2 linked regions of the Nothobranchius furzeri genome follow. The protein of the gene in region 2 interacts with the protein of the main gene of each other region in a pairwise test. Links are inferred from orthologs where the notes say so. Each region holds a gene or a part of one and is shown on either strand. Other genes may lie near its edges. The genes, in order: ppp2r5a and dzip1.

The links.
Region 1: the proteins of dzip1 (region 2) and ppp2r5a interact in binary tests that used the Homo sapiens proteins (3 or more experiments, as listed by UniProt). The link is inferred for Nothobranchius furzeri from reciprocal best matches to the Homo sapiens genes DZIP1 and PPP2R5A.

What each region holds. Positions count from the first base shown.
Region 1 is NC_091742.1:7,932,709-7,941,374, reverse strand, and holds the end of ppp2r5a (serine/threonine-protein phosphatase 2A 56 kDa regulatory subunit alpha isoform), read right to left. Parts: intron 8,096-8,666; coding exon 8,036-8,095; intron 6,618-8,035; coding exon 6,509-6,617; intron 6,406-6,508; coding exon 6,352-6,405; intron 6,251-6,351; coding exon 6,200-6,250; intron 6,133-6,199; coding exon 6,013-6,132; intron 4,467-6,012; coding exon 4,339-4,466; intron 3,793-4,338; coding exon 3,691-3,792; intron 909-3,690; coding exon 389-908; 3' UTR 182-388; downstream 1-181. UniProt on the Homo sapiens protein: The B regulatory subunit might modulate substrate selectivity and catalytic activity, and might also direct the localization of the catalytic enzyme to a particular subcellular compartment.
Region 2 is NC_091754.1:57,281,418-57,289,916, forward strand, and holds the end of dzip1 (cilium assembly protein DZIP1), read right to left. Parts: coding exon 8,429-8,499; intron 8,267-8,428; coding exon 7,923-8,266; intron 4,486-7,922; coding exon 4,367-4,485; intron 4,138-4,366; coding exon 4,008-4,137; intron 3,938-4,007; coding exon 3,858-3,937; 3' UTR 3,544-3,857; downstream 1-3,543. Other genes in the region: abcc4 (ATP-binding cassette sub-family C member 4), read left to right, coding at 550-722, 797-902, 1,186-1,320, 1,407-1,496. UniProt on the Homo sapiens protein: Molecular adapter that recruits protein complexes required for cilium assembly and function to the cilium basal body.

The sequences.
Region 1 (8,666 bases), on a different chromosome or scaffold from region 2:
CTAAGTGCGGCAGAGGGACGAACATTAAAGTCATCGTTTCCTCCCTGCCTCTCCCGCGCGTCACACACAACATGGATACTAAGCGTGACAGACAGAAACAGCCGCGCTGTAACATTCAAAAATAGTCCTTAAGTTGAAGATACATTCATATCTAGCTTTGTTTGTTTGTTTGTTTGTCCTGCCAAAGAAATGCTGGCGCTTCGAGCTCAATCTACATATCATACTGCTGAGGTGTGACTTGTGATGTCACATCCGTTCAAATCCTGACATCCTGACTGCCGCATCCAATTTGTTCAGAATAAAATATTGGCAGCTGCATTTATTTGTCATTTTTTTCTATTAAACACACCTCCTCAGCGACATTGTCACACACCAAACATCCGACCATTTAATTTTCATCATTGACATTTTGACTTGCCGTATTTGTGCTTCCATATAAATCATCATCATAATGGTCGACATCTTCAGTACGTAGGACCCCTATATTTACTTCGGAGTCGTCACACATTTTGTCGCCCTTGTGAGTGACCGCATCATCCCCATCCCCATCCATTACGCAAGCGTCCAAAATGATGTCGGACACCTCCCCCACCACGATATTTTCACATGACATACATTCAATATTCTCAAGGACACTGTCATTTCTAATGTCCTGGAGGAGATCTTCTTTGGTACACAGGACCCCTACAATTACCTCGGAATCATCACACGTTTTTTCGCCCTTGTGAGTAACAGCATCATCATCACCACTGCTGTCCAGGTGGCTGTTGTTGTTATTGTTGTTGTTATTACTGTTTTGGAAACTGGGAATCCCGTGGCTATTGATCTGGACTGAGGCGGCATGGCTGAGCCTCAGCTCCTCCAGCTTCCGCCATAGCTCATCCCTCTCCTGCGCCTTCTGCTGCTCCCTAGATGGTCGTGAAGAAAACAGAAGAATCTGTTAAATTATTGACAATTGCAGGTGTTCCTTCTTCCATCTCAGGAACGTTGCTAAGCTGAGTCCCATTCTGTCCCGCTCTGAATTTGAGACCGTTCTCCACACCTTCATCTCCTCACGCTTAGACTACTGTAACTCTCTTTTCACGTGTCTGAGCAGAACCTCCCTGAACCGTCTACAGGTGGTTCAGAATGCCTGTGCTCGGACAAGCACCATCATACATTGGTGATCTTCTTAGTCCCTACACCCCCAGCAGGTCCCTGAGGTCCAGTGATCAAAGCCTACTGGTTGTGCAGCACCAGGCTAAAGACAAAAGGTGACAGATCATCTGCTGCTGTGGCCCCCAGACTCTGGAACTCTCTCCCCTTGAGCCTGAGATCAGTGGACTCAGTGGTCTCCTTTAAAAAGCAGCTGAAGACTCACCTGTTCAAGCTTTTGCGTGACCTTCATCACCGGCCTCTCCTTATTCTGCCCTCTCCACCTATTCCGCCTTCCCGAGGATCTCTCCTTCTTTGCATTTTTTTAATCACAAGAGTCTATTTTTGCTTATTTTTAACAGATTTTTAATAATTTTCTAAAATCTTTTTTATATGTTAAATTTTGTGGTTTTTGAGACGCAGCTCATGATTTTTATCTTGAAAGGCGCTATAGAAAAGATCGTTGTCCTTTCTTTCTTTTCTAAAATAGCCTTCATGCTTCACTTCATGTCAGTAACAGCAGTAATCACAACCCTGCTGAACTGCATTTATAACACTGGTAAACAGCAGCTAAGTTGGTTTTATGTCCCATTTCTGCTTTAATCAGCCTCCATCCTCAGACTCCTCCAGTGGTTTGGAAGGTGATGGAATCAAGTTTACGATTTTTGCAGTCAAAGACGTTCTATGTTTCATCTCAAGATGATGCCCTGCACGACAATGCGCTTTGGTGGTACAAATCTTCTCGCTGTTGTTGCGTTTAGCTGCCGTTCACTTTGGGAAAAATGCACCCAAACTAGGGATGCACGATATATTGGCATCAATATCGGTATTGGCTGATTTTAGTCATTTTTTAATATATTGGTATCAGCCTGATAGATAAAACTGGACCGATTTTAACAACAGATTTTTTTTCCCCCATCTTGTTTACATTTGCTTATCTGTTTCAGAGGGTAAGGGGGTGATGTGCATTTGTTTAGTAAGGTGACAGTGATTGTAATCATCTCAGAAGCGTAAATGAGTGTGGTGTGTGTACCGTATTTTCCGGAGTATAAGTCACACCAGCCATAAAATGTATAATGAAGAAGAAGAAGAATACATATATAAGTCACATTTTGGGGGGGAATTTGATTATTTTTCTTACAAAATCTGAGACCAAGTGTTTCACATTGCAAGACAAGTACCAGTAACAATAACAGAATAAACAACCAGGGCGCAGCAGCGCGCCACGGTCTCCAGCAAAGGACGCCGGTGTTTCAAACCCTCCCAGCAGGACAGGGGAGCTCATTCTTGGGCCGGAGCCGGTCCGCAGCTCCCCGCCACAGGCTGCAGCAGGTGATGGCTGTGTGTTGTTTATTCCCAGTGGGGCAGGGGAGCTCATTCCTGGTCCGGAGCCGGCCCGCAGCAGCGCGGTATAGCCTTCATAATTTGGTATACAAGTCGCTCCGGAGTATAAATTGCAGGACAGGCCAGACTATGAAAGTGCGACTTATAGCCCGGAAAATACGGTACAAAATAATGTAAATTCAGCTTTAATAATTTTCATTCAATACACAAACTGCTGATTTTAGAAGCATTAATGTACATATCGGTATCAGCAAATATCGGTTATCGGCCATAACAGTGATGATAATATCGGATATCGTAATCTATCGGTGCATCACTAACCCAAACATTTGAGTTTCTTAGGATTTGCATCCGCCAATTGCAGAGAAGTGCTGTTGAAAGGAGACGCATCTCCTCCACTCATAACGTGACTCGGGATCAGCCATATGACCCGCGGTGGCACGTTGGGACATTTTAATACTTTTTTCTGATTTCGGCACTTACTGAATGTTTCCACTCAGTCCCAAAGAGGTCCAGAGTTCTGGCACCCAGCCCTAGGCGTCAGTCAACCTTTCTCATGGTCTGCTGAGATTTTCCACGTTTCTCTTCTGCTGGAGGTCTGTATGGTCTGTGTCGTTTACCGTTTTGTACCACTGCTGTAGCGCGGGAGCTGAACACGTCACGTGTTCGAAGTGTTTTGACCCAAGGCTGCGCTGCGTTCTCAATTATTGGTTCCACCGCTCTTTATTTAGGCTACGTTATTTAGGAATTATTGTGGTTGACAAATGAAACTTTAGAGGACAAATACAGTTCAATGAATTTACATACAGCACAAATTTAAAGACCCAGTTGTCAAAATTCAAGACTTTGTACAGACCTTATAAAGATATTATTGCCACATTCCTAACTTCAAAGCCTTTAAGACGTTTTAAGACCCCACCGAGACCCTGTAGAAAGAGTTCTGGCATCTTTCCTAGCTGGTGGAATGGTTTTCAATATTTACTCTATATAAACTGATATTTCCTACTTAATAAATTCCAAGTTTTGTTCTTTAGCACCAAGCACTGGTCCAAAAAAAAAAAAAAAAAAAGGAAAATTGATTAGAGCGCTTTAAAAATGGGAATGATTCCATCTAAGGTTGTAAATGTTTGTTTTTCCAACAGCTTTTAAAGCGTCTGTTGTAAAATGAATTTGAGGTGGTTTTGGTAAATGTTCCCTCGATTAAAAACTCACCGCATTTTGTCTTCTTTATACGAGGTCGCCAGCTCGTCGAACAGGTTCAAGTTCATCTCCATCATGGCCTTCATGACATTGTAGATCAGAGCTACGATGGTCCTGAAACACACACACACACACACACACACACACACACACACACACACACACACACACACACACACTTACTTTAGGGACAAGTTCCAGAACTTTGCAGAAAACTTAATTACCATATTTTCCAGACTATAAGTCGCACTTTTTTTCATAATCTGGCTGGTCCTGCGACTTGTATACCAAAGTGAATTATATACCAAATTGCGTATACCGCGCTGCTGCGGGCCGGCTCCAGTCCAGGTTTCAGCTCCTCTGCCCCGCTGGGAGGGTTTAAACACCGCCATCCTCTGCTGGAGACCGTGGCGCGCTGCTGCGCCCTGACTGTTTATTCTGTTATTGTTACCGGCACTTGTCTTGCAATGTGAAATGCTTGGTCTCAGATTTTCTAAGAAAAATTATAAAATTTCCCCCCAAAATGCGACTTATAGTCCAGTGTGACTTATATGTTTTTTTCTTCTTCATTATACATTTTATGGCTGGTGCGACTTATACTCCAGAAAATACAGTATTTCATGATCTGATCCGGTCTGGATTAACGGTCACAGAACCTACGGGTTCCAGTGCTCCTTAGAGATCGTGAACAGGCAGTCAAACATGATGGGAAGAACGTTCTCGATGTGTTCCTCAATGAGACTGACGATGTACTCGTTATTCCAGAAGTACAGAGCACGCTCTGATACCTGTGAGGATGGAGCAGAAAACAAATGAAGATGCAGACACAAAAAAGTTTAATATCACGAAGATTTAATGAGATACACGCTGAAGCTTTTTCAACAAGCTCAATTTGGAGAACCGGAGATCAGTTCTTACCAGATTGATAAGCTAATGGCTAGTCACAGACAACTAGTGAATTTCTATTAAGAGACGCATAAAATTAAACTGGCTGGTTGTCAGAATCGGCTAATATTCAAGACAATCAGCTTAATAGGGTATCGGGTAACCTGAAAGTCAAAAATCAAAACCCTTTTCTGGTCCACTGCTACCATGCAGCGATGAAATATCCACCATTTTTCCTTGTTCAGGAACCAACAACTGCTAATTCACTTAGTTTAGCTGGCAGTTTTTCTTCCTGAATCACATATAATCCACCAAAATAAGCCTTAAAACAACTTCAAGCTCAAAATCCCAACATAAGTTTGTGCACATACCATTTACAAACCTTCATGGGCTTGACACACAGGAGAAGACAAACGACCGCGATCAGCGAAATCCGTCGCTTTTATTACCTGACACACGGGAGGCAACCTGCGGCAGCGGCAAAGTTGTCGACGCGTTCTGTTCCATGGCTAATTCGAATCTTCCGTTGTTTTGATTGGCTGTGTCAGGTTGGAGGGAATTAAGGTTATTTAAGCAGTTCAGAGTTAAAAAAGCGGTAGATATGATGTTTCACAAGGTGCTGCTAGAGGTATGTGACATCTATCTTACTTCTGATTTTACTATATAAAAAAATAACATGAGAATGGGTTCATCCCATATTACAAACCAGAGAAAGAAACGGAGAATACCATCATTTAATTCTGGCACCAACAATTTCCCACGCTGCAGCCTTTGTGTGAATATCTCTATATTTTTTAGTAGAAATATTGTACAGTTCTGGGAAATCCGTCACAGCAAGCATCAACTTCTCCTTCCTGATTGCTCGGAGGTGTACGGAGCATCCTGTCCGCTCATTGGTCAGTGAATGAAACCTCTGTTGATTGGTCCTCGTCCGAGTGACAGCGATGAAAAGTTGAAAATATTTCAACTTTCTGGGATCGTGTTGCTGCGTCGCCTGTGCACGACACGTGCATGAGCGCAAAAGTTAACATGCAAGTTTTTCGCGTTTCGCTTAGCAGAAGGGAGACCCGCGATTATTGCTTTGTCGCGCATGTCTCATTGAAAATGAATGGAGGAGAGGCGATGTGGCCTCCCGTGTGTCGAGCCCATTATTCTACAGTTATTTGCAGTCAGTTCGCTTGTTTGACCAATCTCTGCTTCTCCATACTGAGGCCGTTCAAAGAGGCCCCTACGACAGGCTAAATATTAGATGTTCGTAGGTTTTTCCTCACAGATTAACTTTGGAAATCTGAACTATTTATGATTTATAATTAGATATGTTGCTAAATTACATACATTCCAGCTGAAAAGCGATTTTTGGTTGAGACAATGCAGTTTATTTTGATGTGATTAAATAATAAAATGAATTAAAATATTCAAAAATATGCAAAAACTAAGATCTCAGCACACCTGAAAGTGTGGATTGGCCACACACTTGGAGATCTGCTTGAACAACGGCTCCTGGATTTTTCTGAACTGCGATGGCTCGATGACATCCAGGATCTCTTCGATTTCCCCCAGGAACATCACCTGAGTGGGAGCGGTCGTTACTTATGCTGCCAGAAACAAACAGCTTACAAACAGACAGGTAGAGTACCTCTTTCTGGCTGCAGGTTTTGGGCCAGAACTTTAACAGGCCCTGGATCACCTGCAGAGAAAACCGGATTTATCTTCTGTGTTTGATGGCTTCTAACTAGAGCAGATGTTTCTCCTCAGTAATTTGAGTGGAAGGAAGAATATAAAAAGTACCGGCGCTGTAAGCGTGGGATCTTTCTCCAAGAACTGAACCACACAGTAAGCCAGCTGAAGGAAGTGAATAATAACATGCAATTACACGTCTAATCCACTAGGGGACACCATAATACCAACATTTATTACAACAGCTGTGAAGTTGACTTTCTTCTACCTGTGCATGGAAAAGAACCAGTCCTTTAGCTGTGTGTAACGGGATGAGCACCTTCATCAGGAACTGCTTGTGTTCTGCCTTCAGAGGCAAGGCAAACCCGTTAATAATGCTGAAAATAAACAAAGAGGGATTGCTAGATTACACACATGATTCAAACAAACCACAGCAGACATTTTTATTTTCTAATTTCAGTAAAGCGGAGATTTAATTACTGAAAAGATGCTCAAAACATTAATTGAATGAATCATTTAGCCTCATATCTTCACTCTGCTGAAGCTGTAACCTGAAAATGTTTTTTTTTCTATATTTCATAAATAACTTTTGTTGTTAGTCCAATGTGAGGTGCCATTTGTAAAGTCAGAACTTAACAGCAATATACTGTTATTTAGGCCCTGCCCACACGTAGCCAGGGATCTGCCAAAACGTAGATATTTTTCTACGTTTTGGCCTGTCATCCACATGAAAACGGAGTTTTTTCACACGAAAACGGATCTTTTTAAAAACTCCGGCCAAAGTGAAGATCTGCGTTTTCTCCGTTTTGGGTGTCTGCGTGTGGACAGACAAAACCAGAGTTTTAAGGTCCGCATCGTCACTTTCCGCGACAAAAAATGCTGACATCACGTGTGCGACCTGTGTTTACACTAGCCGGCATCATGGAAGCCCTCAGAGCTGCGCTCCTTTATCAATTGTCCAAGCGCTTTGTGCTCGTTTGTTTTTGCAAGCGGAATTACTGCTCCTTGTGGAAGACCACAGACGAAGGACGAGGTTAAGAATGGGGGAAGTACTGCCGCCTACAGGTCTGGCATGTCCTTAACAACATATTTATCTGGGTACTTGTGGACAGTTTTTTTTTTTAAACGAGGTGGTGTGGATGCAAGTTTTTGGAGGGGCGGATATTCGTTTTTTGAAAAAAACCCGGCTACATGTGGACTAGGCCTTAGACTGTCATAGGAGAAAATAATGGGATATAATTTTTCTAAGTACAATTTTACCATATTATTCACACATTTATAAATATTAAAGATCCGAACTAAATATTTAGTTAGCAAGCTAAATAGTTAATTTAGAATTAAATATTTATTTTACAAACTAAATATGTAGGTCAGAACTAAATATTTAGTTTGTAAAATTAATATTTAGTTTACTAACTAAATATTTAACTCCAGTCTGAATATTAATTTTGCTAAATAAATATTTAGATTCCAGCAAAAATATCTATTTTAGGGCCAGATCTTAATATTTAGCTGGGATCTAAGTATTTATTTTGGAAAATAAATATTCAGTTTGGAGTTTGTAAACTAAATATTTAGCTCCAAATTAAATATCTATTTAGTAAAATAATCATTTAGTTTATAAACTAAATATTTTGCTTGGAACTTTAACATTTAAAAATGTATAAATAATATGAAATTTGACTTTGAGAGATTAGCTCCCATTTTTTCCTCTCCTGATGGGCTAAATAACCAGAAATACTGCTGTTAAATTAGGACACTGACTACAAATGACACTTCATAGTCCAATACGCACCTTCCCAGAATCTCCAGCAGTTCAGAAACACCGTTAAAGTGTTCGGTTTCATATATGAACCTGAAAAAGTAAAAAATAAATAAAAGATTAAAGGCTGTAAAAGCTAAGAATAAGCCATCCATCCATTGGGTCGGGGGGGGGGGGCTGGTGCCTATCTCCAGCGGTCAACGGGCAATCAGGCGGGGTACACCCTGGACAGAGAGCCAGTCCATCGCAGAGCTAAGAATAATCTCCTTACATTATTCTAACAGCTCCTGTTAATGTGTGTTTATTTTAATCGTTTCAATCAGATTTAGAATTTCATTTCCTTTTCGTGTATAATCCTGAAAATATCTTCTTTATATGAAAAAAGGATGGATCTGTTCACAAAATCATTTTCATAACACAAACCTGGGGAATGGGGTCAAGTGAATGAGAAGCTCTATAACTTCACACCAAACAGGCGATGGTTCCGACTAATCTCATTTAAAAATAAATAAATAAATAAATAAATAAATAAAAGCACTTCTTCTATAACTTCTATAGTTGTAAGAAAATTTTTTTTTAAGTAGGAAGAGTTGTGGAGTTTAGAGAAAAGCATTTCTGCAGCAAGAAGCCAAAAAGCAATTAAATAAACAGATTAAACAGCAGA
Region 2 (8,499 bases):
GACTTTCAGACGTCAGCAGCACATCACGACTGCTTCAGCACTGAGTGATGTCACTGATCAGCGCCAGAAGGCGTCCACGGACATTAGTAACACTGTTGAAGTTCGATGTGAATTAATCAGTTCGGGAGACGGGGAGAGTGGCTGTGTGACTTAAAAAGTTGCGTTCAATGATCAGAAAAAATGCCGTTTTTACAGGTGTTCCGTGTTGATTGCGTTGTGAGGGACTTCCACTGCGCTCTTTGTGCTGGGAGCTCAGAAATCACGATTTTTAAGCAGCATCAGTGCTGCTTCTTTTCTTTTCTTTTTTTTTTTTTTTTCCTCGCCAGCAACTCTTCCGGGTTTAAAAACGGCGGCTGTTTGCCGACGTCTGCTGATGTCATTACCAGCATGCGTTAACCAATCCCGCCCAGGCCGTTCCTGACCCTCCTTTGTTCAGATACTCTGCTGGTTCCTGAAATATCCAGGACCATGGACCTTTCAGTGGCCCGGTGCAGAGGACATGTGTCTCTGCCGTCTGTGTCCTTCTGACCACCTGCTCGTCTCCTCCAGGTCCAGCTCAAGTCTGCGGTGGAGGAGCTCCCGGGGAAGTTGGAGACGGTTCTGGCCGAGTCCGGCTCCAACTTCAGCGTTGGTCAGAGGCAGCTGGTGTGTCTGGCCAGAGCCGTCCTGAGGAAGAATCGTATCCTGATCATCGACGAGGCCACGGCCAACGTGGACCCCAGGTACCCCTGAGACATAACGCAGCAGGTCCTCAGAGGTCAGAGGTCACACGCTCAGCTGTTTGTTGTTTCTGCAGAACCGACGAGTTGATCCAGAAAACCATACGGGAAAAGTTCAGGGAATGCACCGTGCTCACCATCGCCCACCGCCTCAACACCATCATCGACAGCGACAGGATCCTGGTGGGTTCTCACCTACACACAGGTGGTTCCACTACGGTGGCTCTGAAGGGTCAAGCAGGTTTTCACAGGTTAAGGTGCTGAGAGTTTCAGCTTCATGAGTCGGGTCTGGTTCTCCTGGAACAGAGACCTGGCTGGTTTCCAGTGTGCAGATGTGACTGGTCTGACACTGGGCTCAGGGGGGTTAGGGTCAGATGAAACCCCAACAGAACCAGACTACAGATCGGTTCTGATGCTAGAACCAGTCTCTGCTGCTCTACCGTGACCGTGCCTGGTTCTGTTGCAGGTTCTGGATGCGGGGCAGATCCACGCCTACGCCGAGCCGTACGTCCTGCTGCAGGACGCCAGCAGCATCTTGTATAAAATGGTTCAGCAGACGGGCAAACAGGAGGCAGCGGCGCTGCTAGAAGCAGCTAAACAGGTGAGTCGTACTCTAGACGAAGCTCCGTCTGATTCTGTTAAACCAACTTTTGTCTGATTGACTTGTTTGTTTATTTTCTGCTTCAGGCGTACGAGAGCAGAAGTCATCCCAGCATTCCAAACGGACCCAAAGAAACGTCGGACGGGAACTTGGTTATCTTTGAAACGGCTCTATGAGCTCAGAGACTAAGTCGTGACTCTGTTAGGAGACTCCGGAGAGCGTGAGCTGGTTGGGTTCAGGTCCGGTTTCCGGTGAGATCACATATCCACCTCGGAGGGAGGACCGGGCCTGACAACGGGCCCAGCGGTGTTCCGACCGCTCAAACGTTTGCACACAAAGCCGCTGCTTGATTCTGTTAAGCTGAGAGAGCTTTGGGAACTCTGCTGCCACACCTGTTCAGGTGGAGCATTACTTATTTATCAGCTATGGTTCTGAAGAAACGGGTTTTTAATGGCTCCAGGATGTTCAGCTGTTTTAGTTCTGCATCAGTTTTTAGTGTGTTTGTGTCCAAAGTTGCCTTTTTCTGTTTCAGGCTGCAGATCCAGGTTTCAATGATGTAACGGCAAATGTTTGGGTTTTCAGTAAAAAGCTGTTTTACTTTTGTGTTCAATCAACGTTTATGACCTCTGAAACTCTCTCTCACACACACACACACACACACACACACACACACACACACACACACACACACAGACACTCGTCTGTCTTTCTGTCTTAGTAACCCTAACCAGTGCTGTTCTACTAACCCTAACCTTAACTAAAACTTAATTCACACCATACCTCTAAAATCAACTGGTAAGTTTAAAAAAAAGTGAGGATCAAAATCAAATCAAACTTTATTTAAAAGCACTTAATCATACGATGAATGCAACTCAAAGAGCTTAACAAATTAAAAAGGCCCCGCATACCCACATTCCCTCCCATCCCCAGAATTTAAAAACCCTGACAATAAAAAATGGTCCTCCGTGTGTAGTAAGTACAAGAACACTCTCTCTCTCACACTTGTGTGTTTGCACACACACACACCCTCTCACAGGCAGCGGCTAGTGCTAGCTGTCATTCAAATCCCACGTTAAACAGGTTTTTAGGATTTCCTTCTTTCACCTCCGGAATATTGCTAAGATTAGAAGCATCCTTTCCAGGAGTGATGCTGAAAAACTAGTTCATGCATTTATTACATCAAGACTGGATTACTGTAAATCATTACTCTCAGGAAGTCCACAGAATGTAGTTAAAAGTCTTCAGCTTGTCCAAAATGCTGCAGCTAGAGTTCTGATGAGAACTGAAAAGAGAGATCATATTCAATTCAATTCAAAAATACTTTATTAATCCCAGAGGGAAATTGATTTCTCTCCTGTCGTAGCTTCCCTACATTGGCTACCTGTTAAATTCAGAATAGATTTTAAGATCCTTCTTCTCACATACAAAGCTCTTAATAATCAAGCTCCATCATACATCAGTGACCTGATTGTTCCATACGTTCCTAACCGAGCACTTCGCTCTCAGACTGCAGGTCTACTGGTGGTTCCCAGAATATCTAAAATTAGGATGGGAGGCAGATCTTTTAGTTATCAGGCTCCTCTCCTGTGGAACCAGCTCCCAGCTTTAGTCCGTGAGGCAGTCACTTTGTCTACTTTTAAGACCAGGCTTAAAACATTTTCATTTGATAGGGCCTATGGTTAAAATCTGATGTTAGCCTAGATCTGGACAAGTGGGGGAGTAGAGGGAGGTGGAGAGTACAGTCGGTAAAGACGGCTCCCTTGCCCTGCCTCCAACATGCCTCCATCTAAAAAGGCTAGGTTATCCAGAGTTATCTCTGTCATTATGCTGCTATAGGCTTAGATGGCTGGAGGACACACTGACTTTCCACGCTCTACTACCTTCTACCACTACTCTCTAATTGCATCATTAGCTGTTAACTAAGTTTTTCTCCCCAGAAGAAGCTGCAGTGGTGTTCTGCTGAGCTGTGGTGGCTTCATGGAGGGGGCCATCAGCTAGCAAACTGCTGCTAACCACTTAAACATTCTCCCTCTCCTGATTAAAACATTTTACTAGGCCTGAAACGATAACAAATATTTTTGGACGATATATTGTCCAACAAATCATTGACGATAAACGATATTATTGTCGGCATGATCAAGACCAAAATAACCACTCATGTAATATTACTATATCATAATAATGCCCTGATTTTATCTACAAAAATAAGTCAGAACCCTGAAATCAAAATTCAACAAAGATCTTTTTTATTGCTTGAATAAATATTTTCTTTGAGTTGAAGCAATAAAAATGTACAAAATTTGACACAAGTAGAAAAACAGAGATCCCTAATAACAGAACAATGCACATGAAACACTGAATCTATGACAAGCAAAGAGTTGGCACAAGGCAAAAAATAAAGCTGACAACAAAGTGTGACGTTGATAGAGACAGGTGCGGCTCTGGACCCTGTGGGGTGTATCGCTGGTCTGGTTCAGGAGTTAGAAGCTGAGGTCTCTGTGTTTGTGCTACATCATCACATCAGGTGTGTTATTGCGTTAGTACTCTGAGTCGCTGATGTCACTGAGGGAACAAAGGCTGCTCTTCAGGGTGCTTCCTGTTCCAGCTTCGGTCACACCTGCAGGAAACACACCTAGTTTAGGTTTGTTCTAAGGGTGTAGCTGTGTGAGACAGGAAGTGCTTCTTACCTGAGCTGGGTCCCTTTCCTGTGGAGGTTCCCCACACGCTGGTGCTAGGTGAGTCCAGGCTCTTCCTCAAGGGTCCAGAACCACGGAGAGTTGGTTTAGTCACTTCCTGTCTGTCCTCCACATCTGTAATCTGTTAACAACACGTTGGACTGAAAGATTCATCCTTTCCTGATGGAAGCTGTGATTTCACTCTCCTGACTGACTCAGGATCACTTTTATTAACTGTTTTACTTAAAAAAAGGTGAATCAAATTGATATCGCAATGTTTGCCAGAAAGTTCACAATTACATTTTTTAGTGAAACTGTTGAGTCTATCAAGTCTGAACCATTAAACCCAGTTAGAGACCCAGTCTTCTCACCAGTAGCTCCTGAACCTCATCCCTCCTCCCAGGCAGGACGCTAACGCCCCCTGCTGGCTTCTTCACCGCTCTCTCCGCAAACTGCTGCTCCATTTTTCGAGCCAAGTCACTGATTTGAACTAAAAGACATGAAAACGAACAAGTCACATTAGCATGCGAGGTGTGCTCTGGGTTTGTGTCAGACTTAGAACCGGTTTGGGATTTGATGTTGGGCCGTTTCTGAACTTTTCTTATTTTAAGTGAGATTTGACCTCATCAGTTAAAGCCCGACTACCAATAAGCTGAGACTCCCCAGAAGGGATAATACATCGGTTTAGCTAAATCTCTCAAGTATGAGCCAGACTTAACCTACGGGATGAAATTGTAGAGAAAAATGAACAATAATACATGGAGAACTGGCTCTAAGAGGCATGATGTCAATCTACTGACAGATATCAGATTAGATACAGAAAGGAAGTAGGGCTAATTTCAGTTTAGGCTCCAAATGATCACAAAAACAGTATCATCTATACATTTTTAAAGGCCCTTTATGATGAACAATTTCGATAGAAACCGTGTTCCCCAGCCCAGATGCGGGTCACCAGGGCTCCCCTCTGGAGGTGCAGCATGTTGACGAGTGCCCAGTAGCCATGGAGCTTGGTCACACACAGCCAGAAGAGGAAACATAGGTCCCCCTTCCTATGGTCTCAAGACTCGTGGGAGGGGCCAAAGGGGTAGGGCGCATTGTGTGATGGTGGCCGAAGGTGGGAACCGTGGCGGTCTGATCCTCGGCTACAGAAGCTAGCTCTCGGTACGTGTAATGCCACCTCTATGGTGGGGGAGGAGCCTGAGTTGGTGTGTGGTTGAGAGGTTCCAGTTACATCAATCAGTCAATACTTTATTAATCCCAGAGGGAAATTAAGAGTTTCATTACACACAATTCAGAGATCAGACATACATGGGCAAGACACGTGACAAGAATTGGTGACTGTGGTCATTCGCAACCCGAGTCGCGCTACCTTAATAGAGATAAGAGGGTAACATGAGGATTGGTTCAGGTGGAGGGAAAAAAAGGCACTTCAGAGTTACCCTCCCACCAAGAGGGTAGCTTTGCTCTGCAAAAAAAACAGGGGGGGGGGGAGGAATCCCGTTCCCCCCAGCGAGAGCAGCCATCTACGGCGCTCATCTACTGTACAGTCACAGGTGGGAGGGAGATCTTGGGAGAAGCGAAGAGCACATTGACTCCTGCAGGTTGATGACCTCGCCAGGCTGAAGGTGTGTGTGTGTGTGTGGGGGGGGGGGGGGGGGGGGGGGGGGGGTTCACAGCATCTGTCTGCATTACTTCGTGGGGGTTTTAGTTGCTTGCAGCTCAAGGCTACCAGGGCATCAGATTCAGATAAGAATTTGTTTGGGTCAGGCTGAGATAATTTTCCTCTCTGCCTTCAGTCTTTAAGCTGATCATTTCCAGTCCTTCAGTGAAGCCAATTTTGGGTTTTTAAACCTGTCCATACCGTCCGGTGACTCTCTGAGATGACATCCATTTTGCGCACTAATACCGGTATCGCAGCTAGAACATTGTCCAGCTTACGATTCACCTCGAGTAACGTCCCAGTCTGAGAAGTCTCTACTCAGACGGTGCTTTCCGTGGGTACGGGTCGCCCTCCAATCGCTCCCGTCTTCCCAAATTTCCAGAAAACCAGATATCCTCCCACTCCAATCAGGAGAAATCCAGTGATCATCAGACCAAATATCCACACGTCTTCGATATCCTCAATGGACAGCTGGGAGAGGCACATGATCTTCCACTTCTTCCAGGAATCCAAAATATATCCCACCGGGTGTGTCCCCTGTGGACATGTGGGAGCCCCCTGCTCCGTTCTCATTGTTGAAAAAATCTTATCGATCGCATTGAATGACCATTTTATCAAATCCATGGTTAGTAAAAATAGGGTTTTTCAGAAGAAATGCAGAGAAGCGCTCTGTGGGCAGACAGGACAAAGAGCCTTGGGAAAAAAAGATAAGGGAGCGAAAGAGGGAAGCGTCTGTACTCCTCGAGTGCCTTAAAGAAAATACATAGAGTGTCACCTCAATGCATGGCTCTGGCTCTAGAACCAGTTTCCTTGAGAGGCGTTGGACTCTCCACCGCTCTGAAACTGCTCCCACTGAGAGGCGCCGATCCGGGGTGGGCATACTTGTTGGCTGTTTGTTGGGGTTTAACCCGGTGAAGAAGAGCGTAGCCTCCCTCCACCTGCGTGTGGGAGGACGGGTCCCGACTGTTGTCTGTGCGACTACCCCCCTTCCTGTTTGGAGCCCAAGGAGTGGGTGCTGGAGAGCGCTCCATCTGGGAACTCCCTCGTTCTGATGGGAGACCTTGCGTATGGGCAATGACAGTGAGACCTGGAGGGGTGTGGTTGGGGTGAACGACCCCCGTGACCTGAACCTGAGCGGTGCTTTGTTATTGGACTTCTGTGCTCATCATGGATCGTCCATGATGAACTGTGGTGGCTGTTGAATTTAACAGGTGTTGTGCTGAAAAGAGCATACCAGCCGAGATTTGCATGAGCTGTTGTGGGAAGGTGCACATGAATACCGAGGTGATTTAATGAATACGTACAATTAACAAGTTTCGTTTCCATTAGCTTCCTTACAAAATGATGGTTTATGAGCAGATAAATGAAATAATGAATTTATTTGAAAAAAAAAAAATCTTTAAAAAATTTATAATTTCGAGTCACATTCCTGTTTTTTAAACCAACAGCAAAATTCAAGCAGTCAGCGGAAAAACTATAAAAATACTACCTAAACATTAGTCTCTAATGTATTTAGATAAAACGATGCCAAAACTAAAGTTTTTAAAGGGACTTTACGGACTTTTGACTTTTTATGCTCGCGATTGCCCCCTCAGGCCAAAAGCGTAACGGCAGCTTCAATAGGAGGCTCGTGCACGAGGCGCACATGCTGTACGTGCACACTCCTTAATGAAAATAACAGCTGAGACAGTCCCGTGTGTGTGTGTGTGTGTGTGTGTGTGTGTGTGTGTGGCCCGGAGGACAGGAGAACACACAGCTAATTAATTAAATGTGGTTCTGTAGCTTTCTCTTCAGCACAGCCGACAAAGGTTTATGATGGGTCAGTCCTCCTGCATGCTCAGATCATTCCCTTCCCTTGCTTGAAAAATTGTTCCAAAATGAAAGTTGAACCCACATCTTTTTTATCTGTGAATTCAATGCCGTTCGGCGAGTCTCAAATAAAAATTTGGGCATCTTACTGTAAAAAAATACAACATTAATGTAAAAAAGAAACTCTAAATGAACTATGTTCACATCCAGAATCAAACCCAGGTCTTCCATATGGGAGTCAGACATCTTACAAGGTGAGCTACACTCTAGTAACATTCACAGAACGTCCCAACCTCACACACCAGCTCAGGCTCCCATCCCACCAGACAGGTACCGTTATCTGAACCGAGAGCCAGCTGATCAGACGGCCAAGGTCACGTTGCATCTGACCCCTTTGGCCCCTCCCACAAGTGGTGAGCCCATGGAAAGGATGGCCCTCGTGTCTTCGGGTTACTAACCTTTATCAGATCTTTTTTTGTTCATATTTCCGTTCAGGTCTTTGAAACCCTGCATCTGTTTTGGGTCGATCTCCTGCAGCTCGCTGACGTCTGACCAGTCATCGTCCTCTTCCTCGCTCTCCATCTTTGTGACGGCTGTCTGGATTGCAGCTCCCGCTGATTGTTTGGAGGAGGACTGGAAGGCTGCAGCGCTCTTGGACTGGACTGGACCGGTTTTACTTGCTGTAATCTGGACTGGCGTGGCCTGAAATAATCTGGACGCCGGCAACTTGCTCTTTTGAGGAGGCTCCTCCTCCGAGTCGGTCTCTTCTTCAGATTCCTCATCTGAACTGAACGGAGGGGTCCTGGAGAAGAAACGTTCAGACCTTTAACCTGTTGATTTTCTAACCTTTTCATATAAAAGGAGTTTTTCAGGAACCAGATGGTTATTCCACTTCTACATGATTCTTTGTGGATATTTACTTTTAGAAGGACCTGATTTTGGACCAACCATTACGTTCCCATACCTGCTTGAGACGATCCTGACGGCAGTCTTATTCTTGGGCGTTGATGTCTTGGGCTGGACGGTGGGTTTGGT